Arabidopsis thaliana: one gene and its partner. The protein of the gene in region 1 interacts with the protein of each later gene in a biochemical or structural test. Each region holds a gene or a part of one and is shown on either strand. Other genes may lie near its edges.

The links. Proteins that work in one complex are often made in the same cells at the same time.
Region 2: the proteins of TRFL9 (region 1) and TRP1 form a complex in vitro, tested with the Arabidopsis thaliana proteins (one study listed by BioGRID).

The regions. Positions count from the first base shown.
Region 1 is NC_003074.8:3,981,348-3,987,454, forward strand, and holds TRFL9 (TRF-like 9), read right to left. Parts: upstream 4,279-6,107; 5' UTR 3,936-4,278; intron 3,558-3,935; exon of another isoform or gene 3,521-3,557; 5' UTR 3,502-3,520; coding exon 3,421-3,501; intron 3,349-3,420; coding exon 2,634-3,348; intron 2,543-2,633; coding exon 2,369-2,542; intron 2,206-2,368; coding exon 2,126-2,205; intron 2,024-2,125; coding exon 1,788-2,023; intron 1,679-1,787; coding exon 1,373-1,678; intron 1,279-1,372; coding exon 1,215-1,278; intron 1,129-1,214; coding exon 925-1,128; 3' UTR 533-924; downstream 1-532. Other genes in the region: FDM3 (XH/XS domain-containing protein), read left to right, coding at 1-25. UniProt on the Arabidopsis thaliana protein: Binds specifically to the plant telomeric double-stranded DNA sequences. At least 2 repeats of telomeric sequences are required for binding. Induces DNA bending.
Region 2 is NC_003076.8:5,955,100-5,960,723, reverse strand, and holds TRP1 (tryptophan biosynthesis 1), read right to left. Parts: upstream 3,645-5,624; 5' UTR 3,395-3,644; coding exon 3,177-3,394; intron 3,067-3,176; coding exon 2,955-3,066; intron 2,603-2,954; coding exon 2,459-2,602; intron 2,347-2,458; coding exon 2,185-2,346; intron 2,071-2,184; coding exon 1,798-2,070; intron 1,715-1,797; coding exon 1,624-1,714; intron 1,546-1,623; coding exon 1,486-1,545; intron 1,397-1,485; coding exon 1,278-1,396; intron 1,199-1,277; coding exon 1,043-1,198; 3' UTR 654-1,042; downstream 1-653. Other genes in the region: VDD (VERDANDI), read left to right, coding at 31-326, 417-653; AT5G17980 (C2 calcium/lipid-binding plant phosphoribosyltransferase family protein), read right to left, coding at 3,979-5,624.

The DNA of each region.
Region 1 (6,107 bases):
TCAAGCGAAGCATCTCAAGTCATAAAGGTTTATATTTGCATTTACCCGGTACACTCAAAAATCCCAGCTCTTTGGAAGTTTGCCTCTTTGCTTACATAGTTGTATTTTCGAATTTTGCTAATCTGAGGTCTGTACTTTGCAAGTTGCAGGAGATGGAAAATAAGTTTAGCGTGTAAAGGATGTCAAAATGCAAGGTTCAACAATTGTCTCTCGTCTTTGATGCAATATATGGGTCTTAGAATTGCGAAGTAGGTGTAAATTAGAGGAGGATGGCGTCACATTGGGACTCGAAGTTGAAACTATGTTTCTACACTTGACGGTTCAACATTGTAGGAAACTAAGTAACAAACATTGTTAGATGATTCTAAACCTTAGAGAAGTTTATGAATTTGTGAAGAAATGAACACTTTGGCTTAGTTAAGAGTCTTTCCACCAATAACAAACACTTAACTGTGTCTAATATTCCAAAATCACAGAGCAGCAGTATTTCTTATCTTTCAAATTGGGTTATTCACATTTTGTCAAAGATATCTGTCACAATATCACTCTCATCTCTCATGTGTTTTATTGAAAAAAAATTAAAAAAATTGAACGAAATAATGAAGAAGGTTTGACCTGTCACTTGTCAGAAAGGATAGAACATAAAAGAATGTATAAAATTACAAGATCCCTTTTTATGGACCGAAATTATTACACAATGTAATCAATGTTGAAAAAACAAAGATAGAACCTAAAAATTTGGTTAGGGACGAATCTCATCCCAGTTGGAGTCATTTACAGATGCCAAAGCAAGGAAAAAAAAAGTGTATGTAGGAGAAAAAAAAAAACGAGAAATAAAGACAATTAAACTTTGCAGAAATTGAGTTGTCCATTTATTGTGTTGTTTGCTTCTGTACACCCACCCACCAATGCGTACCTCCTTTTTTACACTGAAACACCTGATTCAAAAGCTCCACCTCTGTTCATGTCTGGATCTTTGGACGCTCCTCTCGCCTGATGTTTTCCTTGGTGCTGCGACCAATACCCGTATGCCCTCAAGACTCTGTCTAGCAGTTCTTGTGGCACCGGCTCTCCTCTTCGTTGCTGTGGGGATATACTTGCTGTGTGAACTAGCGTCTTCCATTTGTCCTGCATATTCACATGTTCTTGAGATATTAACCTGACTGTAAGACGTGATATGTTCCAGATTACATGTTTGTGTCTGATGTGTTTACCTTCAAGTCCACGTAAGTCCGATGATCTGCATCCTCGAAAGCACGCAATTTTACATCACGCCATCTGTGTGATCAGATATATCGACCATTAGCTTTTGAGCTTTGACATTATCCCACGACCAAACTACATGAGTTATGAAAGAACTAGTGTTATATACCTTCCAGTCCCGAGTTCCTCAACTGCTTGTACAAGAGCTTCTACCTCTGTCACAGAGAAGGGTCTCCTAGTTCTCCTCTGGGCTAGCTCAGTACGCTTAGGTTTCTGGTTCAACGGAACTATGGCAAGCGCCTTGACTTCCAACTCTGGAAGTGGGACAAGCTCTTTTGAATCTGATGAAGGTTCATCAACAGATATGTCACCCTGATATGGAACTAATTCGAGGTTACTGTCCACAATATTTCTTGAATCAATCACGTCATCTGCATGTGGAATTCCAGAATCTAGCATAGGAGACGCCGCAGACCTGGGATGATAATTCAGAACCGCTTTTGCTTAGGAATCTTCAAGAAGAATGAACACCAGTGATATTCAACTAAAGCAGCACAAGGATATGATAGCGAATTTCTTAGTACCGTTCAGACAAACTTGTAGGGTCGGTTGGCACAGCAGGATCTTCAGAACACAAAGGTAGGGGAACTTTGCTGGGACTAGGCTCCAAGGTGAACCCAAGGTTGTCTAGATTTTCATCACATGAGATCCCAGTCTGGGACAGAGTTTTCCTTTCATCTCTAACCTTCTTCCCATGCATTAACACCCCAACACGTATTCCTCCGCTGAGTAAAACACTGACAGCCTCCATCACAGTCCTCTGCAACCAAAAGGGTCAAAGAGCAAAATGGTAATTTGTTAACACCTCAATGTCCACACAAGAGAACCAAACAAATGTGAAGAAATACATATTGGCATATACCTTTAGTGATCCTACTGTTGCAGTTTCTGGAACTTCAATAAAAAGCTCTGGAATCCTAAAGGACTTAATGCTTAGCTTTACTGCACCAGAGATAAAAATACATGAGAACCACATTATCCTGTCTCCGGATAAATGTCTCAGTATCATTTACCATCCAGTCAAGTACCATGGGAGCCTTTTGAGAGGACCACAACAGCTAAGATAAGATAACTGAAGAGTTTTGAGATAGACTACAATAACCACCTGTATCTCCCTTCTTGGGTAACTTGGAAACACTTCCACTACTGAGTCCTCCATCAGAAGTTACGACCGAGCTTCTGTCAGGTGATCTTCTTCTCTTATAAATGATCTCACGCTGCCATGCGTTGTAACCATAACATGATTTTCTTTTGCGATAAAGAGTCTTCACACCCACATCTAGACATCCATGTTTAAAGTAAGAACAGGGTGAATCACAAAAAGAAGAAATGTGTTCAAAGATAAGTGAAGCAGGCTGTGTTATACTTACCAGCTCTACTGTATCCAAAATCTTTTGGAACTTGTTTCCAGTATTTGGACGACATGGACTTTCTTATTCTTCGAATTGTTGGAGACCTATACGACTTAAATTTATTGCTAAGTTTATGGTAACTATAGAATTTTTCATCATCATCTTTTCTACCTAGGTTAGTATGGTTCCCATGTCTAGCATAGGAACCATTAGGGGTCATATCCAAGGTGGATGGTGATTTTAAATCACCACCCACACAGACTGATTTCGGAAACTGCAGACCTAACGCAGTTGCATCCTCTAAGTTGCAAGTATCAGTGACTAAGCCTCCATCACCCACGCGATCGGTTGCTTCTCCTTGCTCGAACCCATTATTTACATTCTTGTTTTCACACCCTACATCCATCAAACCATGAATCTTCTTGTAATCAGACATCGGAGTCCGCTCCAAAACGCCGTCACTATCCGGAAATGAAAAACAACTGTTCACCACACACTTCTCAGTAGAGATATCATAAGTAGGCTTTGACACAGAGTTTCCTTGGTCAGAAGACTCAGATTTAATAGTCTTGCAATTTTCTACTTTCTCTTGCTTAATTTCTTCAAATGCATTAGAAGACGCAGAGGAACTCTCGCTTTCCTGTAGAATCTTTCCAGCCAAAGCTAGTAAGTCAATTGCACAGATCTGAGTGTTATCATCATCATGATCAATCCTCTTGTTTAGAACCTTCCTCTGGAAAAAAAGATTCATCAGAAGGCAAATTCATGACATTGAGCTAACAGATCCAGATGAATCAAAATTTACCCTGCATGAACGAGGAGCTCTGGGAATGTTGGGAAAATCAAATCCCACGGAAAGGCAATCTAACTTTCTCTTGAACACCATCTCTCAAATATGCATATCACTAGCAACACAAAAACAAAACAGAACAGAACAGAACACTGTAAAGAATCAGAAAGTAGCAACAAGAATCATAAACAGTAAACACCAATTTAGATCAGATCAACACGACCAAATCCGAGCCTTTGATGTAAGAAAGACACTGAAACAAGAAATGGATCACGCAAATGGAAAAGCGTTGGTAAAATTGAACAAGACTCAAATGCTAGAAGCTGCTTACAAATTCAATTATAAGATTCGAGACAAGATGAAAAGAAACAGTAACCTGATCAGATCTCGAACAAATTATTTCGACCCGCCAAAGAAATTTAATGGAAATTTGAAAACCGGATCAGAGTCAAAGGATCAAAAACCACCCAAAACCCCAAGAATTTTACAGATCGGTAAGTGAACAAGTCAATTGCGATGAAAAAACTCACCTATCAGCCACCAGTTTCTTGATCACGATCGCGAACCACTTATTATTACAGATCACGCTATCTTAAAACCCAAATTCCCCCATACCCGATTTGTGTGTTTTATGTATATATAAAACAATGTACAAAGGAAAAATTAGAATCGATTTATACAAAAACTCGAGATTCTAAGATTTAAAAGAAATGAAGAATTCTCGAGTTATTTTTTTTTTGTGTGTGTTGCGGTAAGAATCCGTCGTTGTCTTTAGAAAAGAAAGAAGGAAGATGACGTGAAAAGCCCCATTGAAACAGAAACCCCTTTTTTTATAATCATTCTTGTAAATTAAAATAAATTAAAAAAGTTTTTATTGACCACACAAATAACAACGGGTTTGAGATGAGGCAGTTGTTGTAAACCGGTAAACCGGCTATTGACGGTCACCCTTGTAAATTTATGGTAAAACACTAAAACCCCTCTCTCCGGTTAACAGGCTATTGATGGTAACCCTCTCTCTCCGGGAATCATCAGTTCATAACCCCTTAAAGAAGATAGGTTTGTCAGAAGAATCTTTATTTTAGGGATCGGATAAAAACAATACAACAGTGCTGTTTGTGATTGGAGTGGGGTCCTTTTTAATATACTAGTACTACAAAAGCTGTCTTTATCTTCCACGTGGGTAGAGAAAGCCTGTGACAACTCCATTGCTTTGGTAATAACGTCGTCACAAGGTTTTTTAAGTGTTCATTCAACTTGAGTGATAACATGAATTTCTTGATGAGATTACATGTTGAAGCATGTGCTAATGGGGCCAAAATGAACGTGTTATGTGTTTTAAGGTATTTTGTGAATGACAATGTTCGCGCCAATCTTATGGCTATTTTAGTGGGACTAAACTACTAAAGCATATGCTTGGCTAATTAATGTAATGAGAATCGAAATGGGTTGAATCAAACATAAATTTATGGCCGGCTGTTGAATCGAATTGTTTGTTTAATTATGTCCGTCTTGGACTTCTGAGAGTGTCTGTCTACTTCTGTGGCTGGCCTTGGAGACTTGGACCCTTGTAAATTATAACCATTCATGAATATGGGCCGCATGACGATTAGTAAATGGGTCGGATCGGACCATTCTATTGGAAGAGGTACAAGGAAAATGATCAGGCATACTACATACATTCTCCACAAACATGGACTAATCATTCTATGTTCCTTCTCTAATAAAGCTTTCACTGAATTCATGATTAGTATGTAAACCATCGTTGATTACAGTTTTATAATAATTAGACGTTATATATTGGGAGAATGTATGCATGCATGAAATATTTCAAAAATTCATATATAGATCTTGTTGTATCCTAGCTCGTTTCACTTTTAGTTTGTAGTTTGTACTAAACAAATACTGAAATACACATGCATTTCTTTCGCTTTATATAAAAACATATACACATGCTGCATGCACTTCAATCATATTGAAATCTCTAATTGGTACATTTTCGTACGATTTGTTGATATACTGGATTCATAGGTAGGTAAGTGGATTTATTTAAAAAGGCCAAATTTAGAAGAAAAAGAAAAGAAAAGAGAATTAGAAGGCAAGATATATATATATATATATATATCTTGCGCGGTTGCATGGTTAAGCATCAAGGCACAAAGGGACAACAACGACATTCTATAAAGAAAAAAGACGAAGCATCAAAAGGGGTCTACGGAAATTCAACATGGAGTATGGAGCTTAAAGATTTTTTCAATAAACCCATATAGTTTTATTATGCTTTTGTATGTTAGAACCTTGAAAACGTGTGGTGCCAAATAAGGAGAATAGTTTTATAACAGTATTTCTTACTTTAATGTTTATTTAATAAATTTAATTCTGAGTTACTTTGCTAAATTTTTTATTTTATCGAATTTTAAGATGAGCGTGTTAATATAGTTATACAAGTTTTTTCCCTTTCTATTCATTTATGTGACTTTTGTATTCATGAAATTTTTAAGATAGAACTACAATTTGAACGTATTAAGTAAGTGTCACAAGCTATAAAAGTTTGCTTGTGGATTAAAGAATTGTGCGAACATTGATTTAGTCAAATCACCTACCGACACGGTCTTATATTTGAGTCAATTATACATCGTTACTAACCTATTATAGACTATAGAGAGAGAGTCAGATTGATGTTTTTAGTTAGATAGAGCATA
Region 2 (5,624 bases), on another chromosome or scaffold:
TACTTCTGTGGTTGATTTTGATGCAAACAGGTCGGAACAAGAGAGAAGAGAGGAAGAGCATCTACAAAGATGTGAAGAAGGAAGAAGAGATAGAGTCTTGGTCTGAATCGAGCCATCCTTGTCACAAAACAGCTGAATCTACAAGTGGGAGATTGACGCAGAAACAGGAGCTTAACTTGAGAAAGAAGGAAGCCGATAAAACCGAAAAATCCAAGACGAGTAAGAAGAAGAAGGTGGAAACTGTTAGTAACGACTCTGAAGCCGGTACTTCATCTCTTATTCCAGAATTCAAGCTCACCATAAAGAAATCACACCTTCTGTTCTTGGTAAGATTAAGCAAGACAAGACCAGTGACACACTGTCGAAATGGCTATGTATAAAAGTGTGTATTAATCTAATGAAAATCTGTGATTCAGGGGATCCCAAAGAAATTTGTGGATATGCATATGCCAACTGAGACAACGATGTTCAAGATTCATTATCCGAGAGGAAAGAAGTCATGGGATGTTACATATGTGGTCACTGATGTACAATCAAGATTCTCTGGTGGATGGAGTCGTTTGGCCAAGGAGTTAGGTTTACTGGTCGGAGATGTTTGTACGTTCAAGCTCATCAAACCGACAGAGATGCGTGTGAAAGTCTCCAAAGAATAGACACCATGACGATGATGATATTTTAGGTGTAGTTGCAGAATTAGTGAAGAACTTCGGAACAAGATTATGGTCTGTGATTCAATGTTAGGACTAATTTTATAATTTTGTTTTTCTACTTACTACTTAGGTTTGATTTGTATCCCAATGATGAATCTGAACTCCGTTTGAGTAAAACAGATTTATTCATTTTATTAAAGATTATTGTTGTAGTGTTTACATGATGAATGTGTATAGAGCTCGCTCCGGTCTCTTCTCTTTATTGTTTGACAAAGAAAACTTAAGTTACAAATAACTCCAGCTTCTTCCTTTGGCACATTGCCTCCATCTTCATCTACAATTGCTTGCAAAGGTGATCCGTTGAATACAACAATATCATAAGCCTCTTCTGGTCACTGAGATTTCTGAGCTAAGTTTGAGATGTTTATCCAAGAATCAAGCGTCTTGATAGCTTTCCCAGACGATTGTACTTCACGTGCCACGGTTACTCCTTCAGCTAGCGTTTGAACTCGGTTGCTAACCAGAAGAGCTGCAGCTGCGTTTAGGATCTGAAACAAGATTTTGAAAAAAAAGGATGAACAAATTGCAGAAGTTCAGAGAATGTTGAATCGGCAAATCAAAACATACCAATGAATCCGCAATTGCTCCACTTTCCCCTGAAAGCACACGTCTTAGCACATCCGCATTGTAGTCTGGACCTCCACCTCGCAAATCCTCAAGAGTACAACGAGGAATACCAAAGTCCACTGTCAAAAAGAAATAAGCTTCAATTTCATTAAGCTGCATCTGCAATATTCATTTTAGAGAAGGGATAAAAAGCTAGAGGAAACATTACATGGGTCGAATGAGAATTCTTCGATCTTTTCCGGAGTTACATCATAAACTAGTCCTCCTCCTGTTTTTCGTTAAGCCATGATTGGTTAATAATTGTTCAATAATAAAAGTAATCAATTTTGGGAAGAGATAATCTTACCTAACGGACTCATTTCGTCTAGACCACATGAATGAACCACCAGTGCTCTTTTCATTCCAAATCGTTGCAGTGCCTTTGCCATCTTAACAACCTATGAAACCACACAAGCAAATGGTAAGTAAATGTCTTGTTTTTGTTGATGAACAAACTAATTTCAGCAATAAGTAAATGTACCAGATCTTTGTGGTATACACCAACGACAGCATAAGAAACTCTAGCAGGATTAAGCATAGGTCCCAATATGTTAAAAACAGTTTTAATTTTAAGCTTTTTCCGAACAGGACCAACGATCTTCATAGCTGGATGATACATTGGTGACATCATAAAACCGATCCCCCCTTCTTCAACACATCTTTTAATGCCCTCTGGTCCCAAGTCCAGAACCACTCCTAGTGCCTCTAGTACATCAGCACTTCCACAAGCAGAAGAACTTGAACGATTCCCTTGCTGCAAAATAAGTATCCATTAGTTAGACGACCAGACGAAGATCATTTAGCATTAATGCAGATAGTCAAAATTTAAATATATCGTTTCTTTTAAGGATTTTCTCATTCGTTATACCTTTGCTACTTTTGCACCACAAGCTGCAGCAAGTATTGAAGATCCAGTTGATATATTGACTGTGTTTGCTCCATCACCACCTGTTCCAACTATGTCCACAGCATCAACTAATCCTTCCACTTTCCTGGCATGCTTCATCATTGCCCTAGCTAACCCCACAATCTACCCAATATCCGAATTAAAGTGAACGTTGAGTTAACTTATTGAAGTGCAGTAATATAGGATTATGTATACTTTTTTATTATAAGCCTAGATTGACTTAATGGATACTTACCTCTTCGTATGTCTCTCCTTTAGCTCTCAGAAGAACTAGAAAGGCACTGATCAGCGCCTCGTTTGCCTCATTCAGCAAAAACTCAAGAGATGATTCAGCCTCAGTTTCAGATAGATCAACCCGATCAATCAAGGTTTCAATCAACTGAAAGAAAAACAACAGAACAGAGCAAACGCAGTATGAGAACATAGTAACCCCATGATTTAAATCTCTCTCTTCAAAGCCATTGGAAAATCACCAAAAGTAAAACTCTTTTAAAACCTATAAAGTAGTACACTTTTACTCAAGTCAATAAAACCCATCAAGCAATTAAAATGAAATTCGAAGAACACACAGGGCCAAACATGTTTAGTCAGCATGAAGCCAATAACTCAACCCAACTCAGAAATACAGATACAGATATATAAAAACCCTGAATTGTTCACAAATCAAGAGACTTAGAAACAAGGGATCATCAAACCACAAACTTATCCTGAAAATAGAAATGAAGAGTCACCTGGTTGAAAGATTTAATGGAAGAAGGGCTAGCATTTGCACAAGCAGGTGGCAGAGCTTCAGCTGCACTAAATCCACCGCTCAAACCGAGATTCTGAGAGCAAGCGAAAGAGCTGCAGCAATTCAATGGATCAAGAGCACAATCAAATGACCACAAACAATTTCAAAGGATGTGTTTTTACTCTAATAAGCAGACACCTAAACCCAAAAATCGAGGCTTTACCTGCGACTAAAGGAAGATTGAGCATCCCCACGAATTGGGGAAACAGCTCCGATCGATGAGAATCGTCGCCGACTCAATGTCGGAAAAATTCTAACTCCGGTCAAGTTGCTTCTTCCGCAACTACTGGACGCATCATCTACGGCGTTGAACGAAGTTAAGATCCCTGAAAGCTTGATTCCGGAAACAATGGAGCTCGTCGTCGCCACCGCAATAACCATCACTCGATTGCTCAACCAACACAGTAGAGAAAAACTTGAACGAAGGAGAGATTTCTATGATGGTTCGTTCCTTCCTCTCTAATAAAGCAAAGCGCCTTAAACCAAATCTTAATTAACTTTTAACTTTTGGTCTTTTTGCTTATAAAGGGTTTCCAGTTTAGTACTCAGTATTTTATTTTTTTCTTGAAAAGTGTTTATTTTATTTTATTTTGGGTTTCATATGAATATATTTGTTGATTACTGAATGACTTAATGCTGCTTTGACTAATGGACCTTTGAAATTTCCAAATTGAGTTTGGTTGGTGGTAGTTGGTAATGCTTGGGCAGTGGATAACTCCTTTTGTTAGTCACCAACAACGATTTCCTTGTGTGCTTATTTCCGCACATTTACCACTCTGCTCAAAAAGTAGGTTCATCAATTTTGTCATACCAAACACTTCTTTGTTTTAGACATGGTCAAACACAGCACCTATAATAGGAAATCATATAAAAATCCATTTAGTGGCCCATTATAACCCAATAAGGCCCAACAAGGTTAAACGACCCAAACTATATATACATCCCCTCCAAAAAAAAAAACAATATTACATGAGCCGATCAGATAATGATGGTAGTCGCCGGAAGAAATTTAACACCGGAGAAGGTTTCCGATCACGGAAAATAGGATGCCGGAAGTAATAAAACCCTGACGCCATAGCCACCATCTTCGTCGGCACAAGATACAACACCAACGCCACAAAGAAACACAGCCCCACGAATATACCAGTCGCTCGTGGGTCACGCCACGTCACCAAAGCTTGCATCTTCTCCCCTTGCGCAGCCACTTCACCAAGAATCGTTTGAACTCTAGCTCCGACGTTTCGTAGCTTATCGTACCTCAACCGAACCATCTCCGGTGGTCGGTTGCTCGGTACGACGTCAAACTCCTCGTCGAGCTCGTCTCTATCAGCTGCATCAGCTAACGAGAGTCTTGGATCGAAATGTGGTAGAGCAGCACGTGACCTGAACCTATAATTCCACGCACCAATCACGAACAAGTAAAACGCTAATGTCGGTACGATAAGATCCGGGAACCAAATCAGCATCACGACAAGTGCGTGAACTAGTAAAGTTGATGTCGGATTCTTCCAGAAACGGGTGTCATCAACCCACCGCACCACGTCGACCATTCCGGCGACTACATTCACTATCCGAAGCCAATTTGCTCTGACTTTACGCATACTGAAAGTATGAGTATCGGCGTCGAGCATATACCGTACTATCTCCGGCCTTAAAGGCGGCTCAGATCGTGACAAATGTGCGGCCAAGATCTTCACTGCAGTGTTCCTCAACATATCTTCTTGAAACAAACTCAACGGTTTAATGTGATGCATCAAAGGCAATAACGGTTGAGTATACACGTGTAAGAAATCCAACGGTGGAGCTGTTCTCACGAATCTAACGGCCAATTCTATCTCTCCCAATTTTTTAACGCCGCCGTTAACTAACATCAGTAACGGATACGTATTTCTATACGCTTTACCAGTCTCCAGCGTCGATATACGTATACGTACTTTTCCAATTCTTAGATCTTGACGCGTGGCTTCTTTTCCACCGTCGACTTCGTATACTCCCCAGCTATCGAAGACTCCTATAGTCAAAACCGTACACGGATCGTATACTTTCCACGTGTACTGTTCGTTCCATTTCGGATCTAAAGAATCCGACACGGTTCGGGTACGGACCCATTTAGAACCGTATTTCGCCACCGTGTACGCGTCCGTTGATCCTTTTCCGTTAACCGTCTTCATCGGTAATAGATTTTTGCAACCGATTATACCGAGCTCGACGATTCCCACCGCTGGTTTCCATAACTGCCTCGCCGTAGGTCGGTAATCACTGCACACGTGCGCCGCCTCGTCCATCACGTGATAACCTCCGTCGAAGCAAAGCCTAATGTGAACTCTAGATCTGTTTCCTCTCTTCTCGTCGTTTGGATCTTCCAATCCTAACCATCTCGAAGCAACCAAGCGATCGTCGACGCGTCTCTCGATTGCGCTGAGTGGCACGCGAGCCATTCCGACGGTGACTGGTCCTTTCGATGTTCGATACTCCAACGTGAAAACAAGCTGATCGGAGAAAGGTTCGGCGGCTACGAAGAGTAGATCTTCGTTCCATGACGGAGCTCCGTTACGAGTAACGGCGGATTTGGTTTTCTGAACTTGGGAACCTAACTGAGCTTTTAACTGAA